Linked DNA regions of Macaca mulatta. The protein of the gene in region 2 purifies or fractionates together with the protein of the main gene of each other region. This does not show direct contact. Links are inferred from orthologs where the notes say so. Each region holds a gene or a part of one and is shown on either strand. Other genes may lie near its edges.

The links. Proteins that work in one complex are often made in the same cells at the same time.
Region 1: the proteins of IGF1R (region 2) and ARRB1 purify together in Homo sapiens (affinity purification with western blotting; 3 studies listed by BioGRID and IntAct, with this or other methods). This does not show direct contact. The link is inferred for Macaca mulatta from reciprocal best matches to the Homo sapiens genes IGF1R and ARRB1.

Annotation. Positions count from the first base shown.
Region 1 is NC_133419.1:75,743,715-75,747,986, forward strand, and holds the start of ARRB1 (beta-arrestin-1), read right to left. Parts: upstream 2,809-4,272; 5' UTR 2,571-2,808; coding exon of another isoform or gene 2,551-2,570; exon of another isoform or gene 2,520-2,550; intron 1-2,519. UniProt on the Homo sapiens protein: Functions in regulating agonist-mediated G-protein coupled receptor (GPCR) signaling by mediating both receptor desensitization and resensitization processes.
Region 2 is NC_133412.1:89,200,234-89,203,792, reverse strand, and holds part of IGF1R (insulin-like growth factor 1 receptor precursor), read right to left. Parts: intron 260-3,559; coding exon 1-259. UniProt on the Homo sapiens protein: Receptor tyrosine kinase which mediates actions of insulin-like growth factor 1 (IGF1). Binds IGF1 with high affinity and IGF2 and insulin (INS) with a lower affinity. The activated IGF1R is involved in cell growth and survival control.

The DNA of each region.
Region 1 (4,272 bases), on a different chromosome or scaffold from region 2:
AGATTCCTCCTCTAAGTCATAGATAAAGTAGAATCTCATGGCTTACGGAAAAAGACAAGGTACAGCCCATTACCGATTTTGCCCTTCTTTTCCAAATTACTTAGCAAACTGTCTGGAAAGGGACAGAAAGCCCTCATGGGGCTGCAGGAGAGTCTGAGGGGGAGGTCAGGGCCACTATCAGGTGGATTTAGCTGGGCCTTGGCTCCAGGCTTCAGGCAGTGCCTCTTCCCCTGCCCAGTGAAGTCAGTAAGTACAAGAGAAGCCTTAAAATGTTAAGTATTGATAGCTCCAGTTTACAGATGGGAAACTAAGGTCCGGAAAAGTAAAGGCAATTGCCCAGTGTCCCAACGGTCCAGCAGTGAGTTCAAGGCAGGGCAGGGGGAGTCATGGAAAATATCTTGGCCTCAGAGACAGGGTCTCCAACAGGTGCCTGGAAGCCCATGGTGTCCACATCTTCCTGACAATCATGTCAGCAGGACAGCAATGACACTTATCCCCCAAGTCACAGAGAGGTACAGAGAGACCCAAGAGAGGCTGAGTTACCCCAATCACAAGGCAGCCTAGGAAGGACAGGAGGAGTGGAGAATGGCTCCAACTCCCTGCTATACCCTGCAGGAAGAAAAGCCTGACCTCATGGGTCAAGATGGATGTGGCTGGGGAGGGAGTCACATACCTTCCTACTGAGGACAGAGGCCTAGGTCACAGTGCTGGCCAGCCAGCTGCAATGGGGACTAGCCATCAAGATGCATGCAGACACAGCATGATCTTCTGCTGTCTCCCCCAAAGCCTGGGCCTCCAGCACAGAGCAGGGCACCCCTCCCTGGCCCATGTGGGGCCTGGTAGTGCCCTAGGGCCATCCACAGAGACATGACCAAGTGGACTCCAGCCTCTGCCCTGCCTCTGGCCTCTTTTGACCTTAGGCAAATCACATGACCTCTCCAGCTCTCTGGTTCCTCTGCTAGAAAACAGGAAGAGGAAAATTAACCTCCTGGAAGAGCTGTCAGGAGGATGGCTGGAAAGTAATTTCTAAACATTAAGAGCCTAAGTTGCCTCTGAGCCTCAGTTTCCTCCTCTAGAAAATAGAAATAATCTCTGGAAGCCCTTTCTCACACTGTTGAGAGAGAGTCTCAGATGGCAGTACGTGAGAAATGGCTTTGTCAGTGGCCCTGAAAGGTGGTGCCCACTGGGGTGTGTCTCTCTAGTCTGTTAGCTCCTTCAGAGGAGTGGGCCTTGCGCATCTTTGATTACCCACACTATGCCTAGTATACAGCAAGAGCTTAATAATAAATGGAACCGAGGAGAGGAGAGGGGAGGAAAGGGAGGAGGCAGAAGTCAGGCACAAGAATAGGAGAGGAGAAAGACAGAAAACAATGAGAAAGAGGGGGAGCCCAGGAAGAGGCTGCTGTGCCCACTTGGGTGGGGAGGGCAACGGGGAAAATAGGGTGGCAATGCTGAGCCCTTGACCAGGGCTGGTCCTGTCTGAAGGGCTGGTCCTGTCTGAAGGGCTGCCCCCAGGGGCTGTCCTGCTCCAGCCCCCTCCTCCTTCTGTCCCACTTTCCCCTTTCAGAGGCATAGACCGTTTCTTTCTGAGTATTTCAGGCCAGGTTCTAGAACGGGAGGGGTTCTCCCAGCCCTAGGTTCAAAACAGCCCCTGGCCAGCCACTCCTCAGGAGGTCAGAGGGAAAGGGAACAGAGTAGATGGATGCGATCTATTCGGATGGGATGGGATCTGTTTTCCCCAGGCTGGGGGCAGTGGGGAGCGTTCTACCCCGTGTGATGTGTGTTTCCACTTCTGGCCATGTGGGGCCTGGAACGTGTGTGTCAGCGGGCCTCCGGCTAGCAGCTCGTGCCTGCGGGGTGCCAGTCTTTGCAAGCATTAGTCTGATTGTGTCTGTGGGGGTCAGTGTTGGTGTGGCCTTGCGCTCCACTGTGTTGGTGAGACATGCCAGCACAAGTGTGTGTGCTAGTGAGGGTGATGTGTGTACCAGCAAGAGTGTTTGCTACAGCGAGTGCAGGTGACAGTTTGCGTATCAGTGTATGCCCACACGTGTGTGCTAGCACGAGGGTGTGTTAGAATTGGTGTGTGTTGGAGTGTGAGCTGTTCATGCCAACAAGGCTGTAAGCAAGAATGTGTTGACCGAGGCGTGTATGACGGCGTGCCACTGTGTGTGATGAGCGTGTGCCAGTGGCTGCCAGTGTGTGCGCCAGCATGCCTGTGCCACGGGTTAGTGTGCCCGTGCGTGTATTGTGTGTCAACCTGCCCCCGCGCGTTTCTGCGGCTGCCGGCCAATGCTGGGTATCAGCAAGCTGTGAGTGTGTCCGGGCCAGGAGCCGCGGCCCACATGGGGCGGCCCGGCCCTCGCCCTTTGGGTCCCCCTCGCCCACGGCCCTGCCGGGGAGACCACGCAGGAGACCTCGGGTGGAGGAGGGCTGGTACTAGATCCCGGGATGGCCGCGAACACAGAACCAGGACGCAATCGGAGCCCCCGCCCGTGCCCTCGCCGAGGTCGCCCCCACACGCCCCACGCCGGGCGACCGCCCTGCACTCACCGGGTCCCTTTGTCGCCCATGGTCCGCGACGGCCGCAGGGAGGTCCGCGGCGTCAGCACCCAGGCTGGAAAATCCCCGGCCAGCAGGAGGAGCGCGGGCCAGCCCGCTCCCGGCTCCCTGCTCCGCCTTCTCCGCTCTCCCGGCCGCCGCCGCCCCCGCCCCCGCCCCCGCCCCCGCCCCCGCCCCCGGTCCCCGCCCGCCTCCCGCCGCGCCGAGCAGCGCAGCGCCCGGGCCGCGGTCAGGGGCGTGGAACCGCGCGGGGTGTGTGTGTGTGTGCGCGCGCTCGTGCGTCTGCGTGTGCGCGCGCCGCCCAGCGAGCCGGGGCAGCGCTGCAGGACGCGTCAAGGCCCCAAGGTCGGCGTTTGTGGTGGGGGAGGGGTCCACCCGCGTGCGAGTCCGTATGAGTGAGTGTGTGTGTGTTTGTATGGTGGTGGTGGTGTGGTGTACGTGAGGGCGCACGGCTGTGTGCGGGCCCTATTGGGAGTGTATTGGTGTGGATGGAGGAGTGTGCACGTCTTTGTGCAGTTGTGCGTGTGTGCGCACGGCCGTGGGTGCGAGCGCGCTCTCCCGCGCATGCCGGGGCAGCCTTTGTGTGTGCGTGTGGTTGGAAGCCGAGGGTCTGGCGACCCCGAGGCCGCGCTCTCTGCGGCCGCTCGCCTAGCTGGAGACCCCGGGATGCCTGGCAAGGCCTTCGCCCTGTGCTCCACCCTTCCCCATTCCACCCCACCCCACCCCCTTCTACTGGAGAGATAACACCCAGTCACCCAACAGAGACAGGAAGAAGGGGTGGAGGGGGCAGTAGACGGCCTTGACACTGGGGAACTGAGCGGAGACCCGCGACCAGCAAGGGCTGCAGGAAGCCGCCCAGGAAAGGGAAGCTGCGAGAAGTGAGAAGAGGCGATAAAGGAAGAGGGCAGAGCTGGCCCGCTGATGTGACCGGGTAGCACCGTGGAAAGTGCCCATGCCTAGCTCCATGGCCACCTGTAAAGTGAGGATACACTAATATCAGCCTGCAGAATTAATAGGTTGAAAGAACTTGCTTGTTTGCTGGCCTCCCCAAGTGCCTGCATACAGTAGGTGCCCAGTAGATGTTAGCCCACTTCTCTGCAGGCTTCTTGATGTCCTGTGAAATCTTGGCTGGGACGCTGCTTTGTCTGAGGTGCCTTCCTGCTTTGCAGGTAGTGGGAAATTGTAAGGTCTTTCCCACACCCTCACTGCTGAGATTTGGCTAACTATCCCTGAAAGGTCTAAGTATTAAGGGAGGAAGCTATCATTTACTCTGATGCTGTTGTGAGTGTGTAAACATCTCCTGTAATCATGCTCAGAAGCAGTTACCTATACTGTTTATATGCAGTATCATTACTATAATTATGTCCAGATTTGGCAGAGGGGCAGGGGAAGGCTGATGGGTAGGCAGGGTGGCCCACCTCTGGGCAATGTTAGGAGCTAGAGAATATGGAGGAAGGCCCAGAACCCTCCTCCCAGTCTTGGCCTCTGGGCTTCACCCTCCACAGGGGAAGAAGAGGAAGCCACCTGTTGTTTCTGCAGGGCTCAGAGATCTGGAAAGGAGCAGACTAGAATCTTTTTGATGACAGGAGATCCCTAACCAGGATGGTGAGGCCAGGTCCTGCCACTCTCCACATCAGTTTCCCCACCTATAAAACAGGTTTGACCAAACCATATGATCTCCAATGGATCTCTCCATGCTGATGCCCAAAACAT
Region 2 (3,559 bases):
GTTCTCGGCCTTGTGTCCTGAGTGTCTGTCGGGCAGTGGCAGGGAGGACGAGGAGGCCGAGGGGTCCAGGGGGACGCTCTCCATGTTCTCTGGCTCCAGGTCCAGCTCCTCCGGCTCGGGCAGCTTGTTCTCCTCACTGTAGTAGAAGGAGACCTCCCGGAAGCCAGGCTCCATCTCGTCTTTGATGCTGCTGATGATCTCCAGGAAGGAAGGCCTCATCTTGGGGTTGTACTGCCAGCACATGCGCATCAATTCAAACCTGCAGCCAAGACACATGGAAGGGGGGTCCAAACTGGGAGGGCGTATGTGGCCAAGAGGCTTCATGGGCCGCCTGCAGTGGTTTCCCACCTATAAGCGTATGGTGGGAGCACTGAATACAACCCTACTGTCCCTCTCCGTCCCTGGCTTTCTGCCTGGATGGCCCAAGTGGCCTTCAGAGTCTCCTGTTTTACCTCGTATGGTTCCGTTCACTTCACTCAGCACTACCACAGTACAAAACCCAAACTCTCCTTTCCCAAGAAGCACTAATCTAGGTCCGCACTGTCCATCGTTACAGGTATTATTTATGGTGTCAGTGCTAAGAAATAAAAATAAGCAGTTTTCTATCTGAGACATCTCATGCAGCCACTGCTGAAACATCCTTTCCAGAATTAGAAAGCAGGAAACCCCCGGTTTCTAAGAAGGCTGATGAGTGACCGCAGCTTCCCCAACGCTCTCTCTCCAGGTCCCACCTGTTATTTCTAAGCTTCCTCCTGGTGCAGGGCTACCCCTGGCAGAGGACCAAAGGAAGAAGGCACCATGAGGCCAGGCTTGCAACACGAAGAAATACACACTCCGAGTCTGCTGCTGTCTCCATCTAGCACCTGCTTGCTCCAGCCCTGCACAGGCAAGCCCCAGCTGATGAGTCAGGCTGTTCTGGACCAAACAAGAGGCCCAGTGTAGACCCGAAGCCAGATTCCAATGAGCCAGCAAGGAGAGCCCTGGGCACGAGTCCACTCCACAAGCAAGGACAGGCAGAACAGGATGACGCTTGTGCTGTGTCTTGGTCGCATTGGCTGGGCTCCGACAGCACCTGGGCTGCAAATATCTGTGAGGCCCTCAGAGTCGCATGGGACAAAGGAAGTCTTGCCAGCTGTGGCCAGGGCCCCCCACGAAAACAGTCAGCCACACGCGGACAAGGAAAGCCGGCTGCCCTGACCCAGGAAAGGCCCGGGCTTTGACAAGCTTCCAGAACGCAGAAAGACCCAGGTAAACAGACTTTTGGGGCAAAAAGGTACAGCTGGCTACCGTCCAGGGCTGGCCATAGTTCTGAGGAGTGACCGCCAACAGCCCTCTTACGTGAGCGTGAAACCAAAGTGCCTTCCTTTCCACCTCTGTTCTCACCAGGAAGCTCTCCTCTTTGTTTTAAAATTCTTCCTAAAAGAGATGCTTTTCCATAAAAGTGGCCACATAGAACTCTCCACATCTAGGAAACTCAAAGCACCCAATGGCATCTAGCCTCCTGTCAGGCCGGCTGCTTAACCACAGACCACCTGCCCATCTCTGGCTTTCAGGGAAAATTCCAAGGGGAGGCCCCTGATGTAAGATAAGCCACTAGGCCTGGAAGCTGGCCTGCCAAGAGAAGGGCTCTAATGGCCACCTGGCAGCTTCCTTCAGATGGAGACGGTGCAACCTTCAGGGAGGGTGGGCCTAGGTGTGAGGGAGAGCCATCCAGAATCCACTAGAATTCAGCGTTCTGGAGCCTGGGGGCCTGCATCTCCACAGGGTCTAACCCGGGGCTACCCACCTCTGCACATCCGCTGCACTGGCATGGGCCATGCTCCCTCATTTCCATGTGGGCTGCAGCTGCTTTCCAGCTACAACTACCAGCTGAGGACATTAGGACAGAGACCGTGGCCTGCAAGTCTAAAAATGCTTATTTACCATATGGCCCTTTACAGAAGGAAGGTTGCGGGTTCCTGTTCTGGGGGTAAAGGAATTAGACAAAATATGAAGCACCCCACAGTATGCTTCTTAGATATGGAGAGTTCCATGTGGCCACTTTTCCGGAAAAGCATCTCTTTAGCCACCATTTTAAGTCTACCCCACAGCAGAATGCCGTGCGCACACTAGGTGCCAGGCAGTGAGGCAGTTATGTGTGTGAACTGATGAAGTCCTCACGAGTTTGTGAAGCAGGTGCTACTGACTATAATATACACCCATGTTACAGACGGGGGAACAGAAGCACTCAGACATTAAATAATTTGTCCAAGGTTACGAAATTCATAAGGGTGGAGCTGGGATGGAGTTCTCTGTGCAACAGGATGACTACACTTTGATTGCCAACGACCCCGGAAAAAGGAATTTTCTCTTAATCTAAGTAAGAGTAACCCTGGGCCCACCAGGAGACCCTCCCTCGCTTAACTGTCCAAGGGACAGTCACAGATGTCACAGGGATGTGCTTTGCAGTGATAAAAACTGGCAGCTTGATGACAAATAAGCCTGCCTTTCCATACTCCCCATCACTGCCTAAGAAAAACGATCGGGGTTAAAAAGAATTAAAATAGGCCATAATGACATGAAATGCATCTCCATATGGCTGGGATGTGAACTCCTCTCCAGCTGACTTGCCCCTGGGCAGAAGTGTACCCGGGCCAAAAGCATGAGATGTGCTTGGCTTTGTGCCCTGTGGCCGGGGACTGAGGAGGTGCCACTGGAGGGGCAGCGAGGCAGTGACATCAGCACAAACAAGCCATGTGATGCCTCTTTTAAACCATTCCAGAGTAACAACCCTTCCAGGGCTGCCCAAAAAAGGAAGTCTTTTTTGCTCTGTGGGATTCAAGACCTTGTTTACTATTTCCACACATACAAAAAATCTCCATTAGACTCTAGAAGGATGTGTGAGCTGATAAAACTCATCTTTTAAAAAGCACCTTTTTTTTTTTTTCCCCATGGGTCAGCTCTGGCAAGTCTGGAGCCATCCTTCTCGAATGCTCTCCCCTTTGGGGGACACATACCCGGCCCTTCTGGAACAGGGACAAGACTCAAATGGAATTCCTGCCCTGCTGGGAAGCAGCCTCCTGGGGGCCAGCTGTGCGCCCTGGAGGCTGGGTGATGGTCAGCAGGATGAGCACACGGAGGTGCCTCTGTATTCCCATTCCACTCTTGGCCCTGATGTCCTGAACTGGACAGGCTGTGACCTGTGTGGGATATCAGCAGGCCACGAGGCACCCGCACATTCCCGCATGCTGCCGACGCTCACCGGATTCCCAGAGGACCTGCAGGGCTGAATGTGTCTCTCTCCTGGCAGTCCTCAACAGTGAGGGTTGTCTTAGGAACCACGCCTCAGCCAGGAGGACATGGGGCCTGTGTGCCTCCGTGAGCTCACTGGGAATAACTGAGCAGGAGCGCCCTTCCTGCCTGTTTGCATCCCACTCAAGCACTCGATTCCCGCAGAACCAAACTGGGATTCCAGCAATGGGAAAAAATACAAAAAACCATCAGATTTCACTAAGTTTGTTTCAGACTCATCTATTAGTTGATAATGCTCCAGGCTAAAAGTTCAGATTCCCTCCTGAAT